2 linked regions of the Schizosaccharomyces pombe genome follow. Changing the gene in region 2 together with the main gene of any one other region gives a genetic interaction. Each region holds a gene or a part of one and is shown on either strand. Other genes may lie near its edges. The genes, in order: abp1 and sap1.

Region 1 (5,792 bases), on a different chromosome or scaffold from region 2:
GCTTATAGGAATCATTCTTGAAGAGTGAGAAGTTTTCCCGATTAGTATGAAGATAAAAACGGAATATTATAGCACACGATAAAACTGAAGCTAAGAAAAAGAGACAGACTGCTAGATAAATGTATCGATGCTTTTTGCGCCGACGCTTTTTAGCTTCAATTTCTGAAACCTTTAAAACTTCAGTGTTCTCTATGGGGCTGTTCGACTCTTCATATGATGAAAATTCTAAAGACGATGATACTGCGCTACGTTTCCGCCAGTGTTGTCTGGTTGATGACTTTCCATGGTTGTTCAAGGTGTCACCTTCATATGCATTCATTCATGCCACTGGAATAAGTGACTGAGAAGCGCCAATTTTTACTTGGTCTTCTTAATATATTGTCAAACAGTATTGAATGTGATTTGATACATTCGATGACCACAAATACAAATATAAAATAGCGAAATGCAACGAGGAAATATGGAGTAGCAAATACATATATCACTATGCTGTAATGAAGTAGGCTAATAAGATTGATTATTTTATTGAATATTTGATTAGTTCTCGAATCATGAGCACATTTAAAAGTATTACTTCTTTGCCAATACACAAACCAATTTGCATATACTCATGGCTTATAAGTTGGTGGGTAATAAAGTAGCATAATTTGAACAAAGAATCATAACATATATAAACACCGAATTCGATACAAATAAATATATATCAAATATAATAAATTCAACAGTGATAGGTAAAAGAAGAAACTTAAAAAATCAGACTTTTATTTTCTTTATTTATTTTGGCTTGCAAGGCTTCCAGATGATTGATTCATGAACACTTCTGGCTAGTAGCAAAAGTTTTATGATTGACCTAAAGAGCATTCCAAGCATTTATAAAGTCATATTAAACCCACATTTCTAGGTAAAAGACAGCCATTGACAATATGCAAAGGCGGTAGGTACGTTTAACGTTCAAGTCTAAATTTCCTCTACATAATTTGAGGGAAACAGTCCTCGGTGACCATGACACTCACCTTCCCACCAATTGGGATCAACACAGTCCACATTGGCGATAATTTCGTCTTCAAAAAAGCTGAGCTCGTTATCTTCTTGAGCCTGATAATCATAAATTGCCTTCACAGACTTACCAGGACCCCCTGCTTGTGGCTCGGCAGGAGGATTATTGGCAGTCTCATTAGGTCCAGTTATTTCAACGTAGTTAGAAGGAAATAAACCTTGTTGACCTTTAGAATTTTCTCCTAACCACCATCCATCATCGACAAATTCCAAAATCTGAATCTGCTCATTTTCTACTAACTCGATTTCGTTTTCTTCCTCAGGAGAATAATCATATATAACTATGGCCGGAGTCTTTGTAGGTTGTGTATGCTCTGTAGCTTTGACATCTCCACCGACTTGAGGTTCTTGAGTTTCGTCATGCGGTGGGAGAGGAGGAACCACGGGCTCATTAAGTTGTCCAGCTTCTGGTACAACAGGAACAGCGGGGGGTTGAGGAACTGAAGGAACCTCAGGTACAACGGGGGCAGCAGGTGGTTGAGGGACCGAAGGTGCTTCAGGTACAACGGGAACAGCAGGCCTCTGAGGGACCGAAGGAACTTCAGGTACAACAGGAGCAGCAGGTGGTTGGGGGACCGAAGGGGCTTCTGGTACAACGGGAACAGCAGGCCTCTGAGGAACTGAAGGAACTTCAGGTGCAACAGGAGCAACAGGTGGTTGAGGAACTGAAGGAGCTTCAGGTACAACAGGAGCAACAGGTGGTTGAGGAACTGAAGGAACTTCAGGTGCAACAGGAGCAACAGGTGGTTGGGGGACCGAAAGGGCTTCTGGTACAACGGGAACAGCAGGCCTCTGAGGAACTGAAGGAGCTTCTGGTACAACTGGAGCAGCAGGCCTCTGAGGGGCCGAAGGAACTTCAGGTGCAACTGGAGCAGCAGGCGGTTGGTGGACCGAAGGAGCTTCTGGTACAACTGGAGCAGCAGGCGGTTGAGGAACCGAAGGAGTAATGACTGATGGTTGCGCCGCTTTTTGTGAAGCAGATGAGATATCCCTTTCTGGAAAAACCTTTGGCATTGCTGGAGGTGGATTTAACGAAAGACTTTCGCCAGATGTCGGTTTTTCAGGAGCGCTTATGGGATTGGGATTATTTGTAAAAGGTCGAGGTTTGGCAAAAGAAGTTCCTGCCTTCGAATTAAAGCTCGATATTTTAGCAGCCGTCTTGGGAAATGTAGGAGGATCGTTATTTTCACTAACATTTGCTTTTGCGAAACGAGCTCGAAGCGCTGCAACGCTTTCACGTGGCTCTTCCTGTGCTGAAGTTTCATTGGATGAAACCTGTTTATTTATAGGTTTGGCGGTTTCTTGTTTGTCGACAGGTACCGTTGATGGGGAATCTTGTTTGCTGGCAGTAGTTGAAGCAGGAGGAAAACTTGTGCGAACAGGACTTTTAAGATGATGTGATACTGGGTTTTCAACATTCTTAGTTGAGGATTCTTTCTTTTCGAACAAAGCACGTCTAGCAGATAAATTCACATTACCAGCGGTATGCAGCTCTTCTAATTCAGAGACAGGTTTTTTTGAGGGAGAACCAGAAGGTGGTTGAGGTTCGAGTTTAGTCAAAGGAGTAAGTTTAAAATGATCCGGAGTAGTTGGAGCGTGACTGGATTCTGCAGAGCGATAGCTTGAGCCAGTAGTTGTAGTTGAAATAGAAGGCTTCGGGTGTTCGCTAGGCTGAACAGAGATTTGCTTAGCTGGCCCATGAGATTCAAAAGGAGTAGGCTTTGATGGCCCACCAGACCCAAAAGGAGTGGGTTTAGGCTTATTTTCTTGAGATTTTTCTTTACGACCGGCATCCGACCACGATGCATTTACAGGGACACGTAAGTTTGAAGTAGTATTTGCAGTCTGGGTATTGCTTTGCTTAGACGAATCGTCCCAACTATTGTCCTTTGAGTCTTTCTGCGCTTGCACCACTGGCTTTGAAATATTGGCCAAAGGGGTTTTGGTAGAAGGAGCTGGTGCAGGGGCAACCTTGGCAGTACTTCCAAAAGTCTGGCTAGCATCGTAAAATGCGTTATGCTTTGATTGAGGAGTTGAATTAGAAGTATGAACGGAGTATTTACTACCACTAGCATCTGCTACTCGACGAATAATATCATCCATATTTAGATCAGACGACTCACGTCCCGTTATTTGAACATGATAACCTTTCAAAAGATTGGAAACCGTAGCCATATGTATAGAGAACAAACCTTTACGGGCTGCTGCTTCACCACACCAACATACCAAAACAAATTTATTTAATCCAGTGTTGACATCCTTCACACGTAGAAACCCAAACAGCACAGCGTTTTCATCAAATTCATCAAGAAATTCATCATTGTCGTCTTAAAATTATAAAGTTAGAAAAATCGTCATCAAAATAAATAAAACTATTGTAAAAACACCGTACTTCCAGAAGCCACCACTTTTAAGATATTTCCTTGTCCTTTTTCATATCCAAAAATGGCCCAAGAGCAATCATCAGCACCGCTGAGTACTTTTTCATAAACGTTTCTAATCTCAGCTCCATGCGTGCTCGTATCTAGTTGAAATGACATTTTGGGCGGGAATGGTAAATGGAAGGAATTGCGCTGTACAATATGCTTCCGTCATTGTGTTCCTCATTCATGGTACTATGTGCTATTATCATATTAGTAAAAGTGGAAATCTTGTTTATGAATAAGCAATTGTAATACTCTAGTGTTTTAATAATATTATGGATTTCGGAAATATGATCGTCTCAATGAACGCTTAGTCCTTCATGGTTGATATTAGTTTGACGTAGCATTAGTGTATTTCAGCTAATTCTAAGGTATTGATATTTCTTTATACGTATAGTTAATATTAACTACCTTTTAGTCACTACATACATTTCAAAAGCTATAGGTAGAGTATACTAATAATAGGAATATGTTTAACTATCTCTAGTTGAATCAGCGATAGATGATTTTCTCTGAGTCTGTAATTTGTTTGATAATTAAAATAATAAAAACAATTTTCTATGAATATAATGATTTTGATGCTTTTCGAATGTTCATGAAAAAATCTGGATCACACCAGTTTTCTGTAAACAACAATGGAATGCTGGCCAGCAGCATTTGAAGGATTCAGTTGACAAAAGATCAAAATAAAGGGTGATCCTACAAACAGCAAGACTAGTAAGTTTTGAACATGTATAAGATATTGTTGTTAAGAATTGATAGGAAAAACATGATCAGTATTTCGGGTCCAAAAAAAAAAATAAACGAAATGAAGTGCAGGTAGAATGAACATGAAAATGACAGACCAATGGAAATGATAGATACTTAGAAAGTTATTGCTCGTGCAATCCTCGACGGATTGAAGGCGTCCAAAAAGTTTTACAAGTAGGCATCAGAGTATTAGGCAACAAAGGAGACACTGTAGGTGTTGGCAGAGCTAACACGGTCTCCTTTATTAAACTTTGGCAAGGCAATTGAAAAGGTGGTAGTAGCCGTCACCTCAGTGTCATAAGAAAGAGGGTTATGAGTGTCCACTGGCGGATTACCGGTAGGAACATGAATGCTGGCAGAGTATACGGAGACGTCAGTAGCTGAAGCAACAGGAGTAGTCGTAGTAGCGCTAGTTGGGGAAACTGAATCGCTGTCAATTTCAATGGAACGCTTCGCGTAGGAACCGGCAGTCTCAGTAACAGTGAAAGTTACAGTGTCTGGTTTGAGGACATTGTAAACAGTAACAACAGGTTGGGAGGTGACTTCAGAGCTTGAACAGTCAACAGTGCGAACTAAATAGACTGTAGTAGTAGCAGGGGTAGAGACAATCGAAACACCCGAATCAGCAAAAACGCTTCCAGCGAGGAAAGAGACAGCGCACAAGGTTTGGAAGATAGAGCGAAGAAACATTTTATAATAAAGTAATTTTTTGTAAATAGTCACTCAAAGAAAACAAAAACAAAAAGCAATGAGTATTGAAATTATCCCAATTACTTGAAAGAAGTACAAAAGCAAGGCCTTTTGAAATATAAAAAAAGATTTAAGTTATTTTACGCCTGATCTGCCAACTTATATAAAAATGAATTAAGGCGCTGAAAATCGAACTGATGGCTGGTGAACTGATCACCATTGTACAAACTGGACCGTGTAGCATTTTTTTTTTTTTTTCAAACCGATTTACATGGCGGGCCTCAAGAAATCGCTTTGGTGGCTGGCATGCAAGCACCTAGATTTAAGAGTGTACATAGGAAAAACAAATCGTAATATAATAAGTTATGCATCTCAATAAGGAGTTATAGTAATATAAAATATCCTAGTAAAGCGTATATGAGATTTCCCAATATGCTAAGCAAAGATTGTTCAGTAAACATGTCACTTCATATGGTTATACCATATAATATAAGAGTTACTCGTACGTATTATTGAGCCTAATGTTGATTAAAAGAAAGAGACGTTGTAAGAATATGAAAGGATTGCTTTATTGTATTAAAACAAAAGATTCAAGAACTTTGATCATGTATAATTTGGTTGTTAAAAAAAAATCACCTAAAAAAACTACTGCTTTATAATTTGCTCTCAGGATACATAAAGAATTAATAAAATTAGTTCAAGAAAGTAACTTTGCATTTCTGCATGCTATGTTTCATCGTAAATAGGCACAGATGGACTGATATAAGTAATACAAGAGGGTCAATCGGGCGAGCTAACTATACTAAAAAACGCCAGATTCCCGTACCTTGATATTTTTGCCAACAACCATTTAAAAACATTACTACTATTACA
Region 2 (4,954 bases):
CATACCCGGCAAACGCAACGGTGACGGTAGAGGAGGATAGTGGGATGTCTTGAGCTTGGAGAAATCTGAGTGATGAGAAGGCAGATGGATTGTATGTGTGTGTGAAGAGCACGCATTGTGTTGGAGCACGTTTGTTAGAGTACGCTTTGCGTTAGAAGCATGTCTTGTGTTGGAAGCACGCTTTGTTGTATTTTTGGTTCATGATCGTTTAACGAAATAAGATAGAAATATTAAATGTGCAAGCAGCAGAAAGATTGTAATGTTAAAGTGGAAAAGAGCCAAGTAGAGATATTGTAGAGGATACGATGTGTTTGATAGGGCGGAATTTTGTATATACTGTTTTTTCAGGTAGAATACAGGGAAAATGCTGAAGCGACGTTTGCAGTGTTGAAGAGATGACAAATACAAGACCTTTACAAAATGCATTCTAGTTTGATTTTTTTTTTTTTTTATAAAGTGAATTTTTTCAAGATTTTATTTTCCTAATTTTATTTTCCTAATTTTATTTTTTATATTTTTAATTATCAATTTTATTTTTATTTTATTTTTTTTATTTTCTATTTATTTTTTTATTTTGCATTGCTCATTCTTTCACCCAGAGTAATCACTAAATTAGTCTTTGTTTACAACAATTTGAACAAACAAGTAAATAAATGAAAATAATATTGTTGTCAGACAAAAAACAAGTTAAAATTAAATAAATAGAAAACTTGTGGCTCATTTGATTCTTAGTTATTCTTTGTTTACCTGCGAATTGTTTTTTATTACAATACCCAACAAGTGTTTTCATGTAAATCATTTCACACTCTGTATATTTTACTTTACATATATATATGTGTGCGAGTTGAATCATTTAGTTTCTATCAAAACTCTTTCTACTGCTCTCCCTCTAGATTCTTAATCGGTTTACTGACTCTTTCCAAGTTCTTAATTTTTTACTGCACTTTTTTTATAGTCTTATTTATTTTTAGTATACTCTTTCTAAAGCCTTATTCGGGTTACTGCCTCTCTATGTCGTCTTTTACTGTCTCTCCCTCTACATCCCTATTCATTTACTGCACTCCTTCCTACTCTCTTTTTCGTTTGCTTCCCCCTCCAAGTTTTGTTTCGTTGCAACAAGGTAGAAACAATTCGAATGGTACCAACAATTCTAGCAATCCATACAGACTCAACACCATACATTTCAAGGGTCGACCTCAGATTACTCAATGAAACTCTTGAAAATCAGAATGATCAACCAATATTCATAAATGCTTACAGCAACTTTTGTCGATTGCTAGCAATGATGCATTTAGGTGAAACAAAGTGTGGTCTAACAATGTTTAAATAAAAGAAAAGAAAGGAAAGAAAAGAAAGAAAAAAATAAAAAAAATACTTGATCTTGATTGTATTTTTATTTTCTTTTCTTTTATTTATTCTATTATTTCTCTTTCTTTTTCTCTGCTATAAAAGTGGCGACCATACTGCAATCGAATGAATGTCCACACTGCAAAAAGTGTATGGAAGAAAGCCCTAGAGTAGAAAAGGAAAGAGAAAAGCGCACAATAAGGAATGTTAAGAATAAGAAAAAAAAAGTTTCAACATACTTTATTTTAATTATTATACTGTGGTTTATTTCCTTATTCCAATTACAACAATGTAATTTACATGCTTATTCTAATTACTACAAAGTGATTTTTATCCTTATTCTAATTACTACACTTGATTCACTTCCTTATTCCAATTACAACGCTATGATTCATCTCCTTATCTCCTCTAATACCCTCCCTCTCCCTCCTTGCTTTACTCTGCGGGCATCCCTCTTCCCCCCCTTCATCACTCCCCTAACCCACTGGAACGTTGGGTTTGTTCGTTTGTGCAATCTTTTCTTATCTTCACATTTCCACCCACTCTTCCATCTCACTAATTCCGCTCCTGGGAGCCGGCAAATCAGCACCTCCTTATCCAATAATACGCAATCCACATGACGCCACCATCGTTGCTAGTCTTTCCATTCTCATCGCTATCGCACGTTCCAGATGTGGCGCCCCTCCTTATTCCTCGCTTTCATTGGCTCTCTCCCCATCCCTCGTTGTGACCGTTTACCAGCGATACCGTATGTCATCATTACCGACCGTGCCTGCGTTTTGGTGGCACTCGATCTTATTTACCTCGCTGCGCATCCCAACGAACGCTTTACCAACACCTCCAACACACTCTCCATCGTATTGCAGTGTCGTGTAGGACTTGCCTTCGTTCAGATCCTTAAATAATTTCATTCAAAATCGGTTTGCATTGCTTTCCTCTGTTTTGCTTTGCCCTGCCTTTGTTGGAAAACCTCTCTTACCTCTTCTACTTGTGTTGACTCACCAGTCAGATCAGCTTGGCTCTACTTGTCTACGACTGGAAGCGTCTTTTCACCTCTACTACAAACTTCTATTCTACTATATACTCTTCTCCTGTTTTGCTTTGCTTTGTTTTCTTTTGCTTAGCTTAGCTTAACTTGACTCGACTCGACTCTGTTTTTTTACCTTGCTTTTATACTGTTCGTCTAGTACATAGTATACTTACTATCTTGTTAGTTCCTCCTATACGATTCGATTGCTTTTCCATCTCGTCTCGTTTTTCTCCTCCTCTCACTTAGCTTTTCTTCTATAAAAGGTCGATTTTCATCCTTCTCCTTTTATATCCAAAGCAAAAGCTTTCTGCGACAACTTTTCCTTTCCTTTCCTTTTCTCTTTTTTTTTTTTAACTATACACCACTCTTCCCCTAGCGGCAATTTGGATTTCGGACAATCGAATCCAAATTCCACCTATAAATTATTCAAGACGGATCCCCTATTTTCTATGGAAGCTCCCAAGATGGAACTGAAGAGCTATAAACGAAAGAATGCTTCGTTATCTCCCAGTTCCTCTCCCGCCAAGGCACAGCGTACTCACTTGTCCTTGGAGGAAAAAATCAAGCTCATGCGCTTAGTCGTGCGTCACAAGCACGAACTCGTCGACCGTAAAACTAGTGAGTTTTACGCCAAGATCGCCCGTATCGGTTATGAGGACGAGGGCCTCGCTATTCATACCGAGTCCGCCTGTCGCAATCAAATCATCTCCATCATGCGCGTCTACGAACAGCGTTTGGCCCATCGTCAACCCGGCATGAAGACCACTCCCGAAGAGGATGAGCTCGACCAACTTTGCGATGAATGGAAGGCCCGTCTCAGCGAGCTCCAACAGTATCGCGAAAAATTCTTGGTTGGCAAGCGCAAGTGTGATTGCAATGATGAAATTAATGAACGTCTCAAGAAGCTCACTGAAGAGCAACAAAACGTCGACATGCTTGTCGCCAAGGTCAACTTTCTCTCCAAACATCTTCACGATAATGAGGAAAAATTAATGCAGGTAAATGCTAAAATGGATGAAGTTCTTGCCGAAAATAAGCGCCTTCAACAACTTCTCGATCATAACGATTTGTTGTCCAAGCTCGAGCCTCCCTCTGCTTACGCTCCCCATGGCGTTAACATGGGCACTAATATGGGTGCCAACATGGGCGCTAATATGAATGCCATTCGTGGCGGTCTCCATTCTAGCATCTCTCCTAATCTTGGTGACCATTAATCCCAACTTTTCCGCCCATCCTCCTCCTACCTGTGAACACACAACCTCTTTTCTTCGAGAATTTCGTTCTCAATCCTTGTTTAACTTATGTTGAGCGGTTGAATATAAATTTTTTTTCTTCTTTACTTTTGACTGACGGTCTGCTTGATGTAAATATCTTTCATTTCTCCCTCTTCCTAGTTGTGTGCAAGGCGAATCATTCGGTAAAGCTGGTTACTTCCTTCCTCGTAGGTATCTTTGCCCCTTTCCAAATAAAAAGGCAACGAAGCCTTTCTGTATGTGCGCTAGTTGGGTTGCTTCTATTTTCTCCGCATTTTCTTGTCTCTTCCGTTATTAAACTAATATTGATTTTTTTTTCTTTCAATCCGGACATATTAAATTCTTTGTTTTTTTTTATTTTTTGTCCTCCTTCAAACAGTTTCGGTGATTGCTTTGTTTTCGCTTTCCACCGCTATTTGCCTTTGCCCTCTTTCCCTTTCGCACTAATTCGTTGTCCTTTTTGCTTTCGTGCTTTATCCCAATTTCGTACGACTATCGTTCTTCCCTTCAAACAAGCTTGAAACAGGTACTGTCATATGTTTTGCAAGCAATCCTCCTTGCACTTTCGGTTGAAGCTTGACGAAAGCCCAATGGTCCCACCCATGCTTTGCTTGTAACGTCACATCATGGTTATCTCTTATTTAGAATAGTTTTTTCCCTTAAATTGGTTTCAGTAGTGTTGGCCATTAGTCGGCCTACTCAATTGAGTTAATGTACAATTAATACAATTTTAAGCGACAGAAATCTATGTATCGTAGCAATCGATAGTTCATGTGCAAGTGGAACAAATATTGAGACATCGTAGTACTCGTGTAAAACAAACAGTCTTGTTAAACGGGAGCTCCTCATAAATGGGATCATCATCCACCACAACAAAAGCTTTGCCGGCCATTTCATACGAAGTGATTGAAATATGGTGAATAGCTAGTTACTATACTTCAGGTGACCAAACAGTGTACTTTTGAATTTCCCTTGTAAAAAAATTTCAAGTCCAAAAATGGCCCCAATACGGAAACAAATTTAAACTGTATTACTTCTATGTGTTAGTTATTCCGTTTGTGCCAACGAATTTAGACCAAACATTGTCGACCGTAACATTTTTAACCACCGTGCCATTACCATCGGGGCCCTTTTCTATCATACAGAGGCTTGTAATACCGCATTTGTCCAGATACGACTTGGCCAAATGATAATTCAAGCCAACTTGATGTGGTCCATGACTATCGTCAGATAAAGTGAGTTGCGCTCCTTGTTCAACCATCAGCTCAAGAAGTCGTTGCTGAGGATACGCAGTCTTCCATCCTTTGCGAAATGCAGAGGTGTT

What was found.
Region 1: of sap1 (region 2) and abp1, a mutation in one rescues a mutant of the other (synthetic rescue), as found in Schizosaccharomyces pombe (one study listed by BioGRID).

What each region holds. Positions count from the first base shown.
Region 1 is NC_003424.3:5,261,435-5,267,226, forward strand, and holds abp1 (cofilin/tropomyosin family protein abp1), read right to left. Parts: upstream 3,613-5,792; 5' UTR 3,597-3,612; coding exon 3,449-3,596; exon of another isoform or gene 3,384-3,448; coding exon 958-3,383; 3' UTR 501-957; downstream 1-500. Other genes in the region: dpp1 (dipeptidyl peptidase), read right to left, coding at 1-319; protein adg1, read right to left, coding at 4,419-4,919.
Region 2 is NC_003421.2:560,990-565,943, reverse strand, and holds sap1 (switch-activating protein Sap1), read left to right. Parts: upstream 1-2,177; 5' UTR 2,178-2,826; coding exon 2,827-3,591; 3' UTR 3,592-4,368; downstream 4,369-4,954. Other genes in the region: gud1 (guanine deaminase), read left to right, coding at 1-53; SPOM_SPCC1672.01 (histidinol-phosphatase), read right to left, coding at 4,667-4,954. UniProt on the Schizosaccharomyces pombe protein: Binds to sequences required for mating-type switching. Makes a simultaneous contact with both the alpha and beta domains of the switch-activating site SAS1.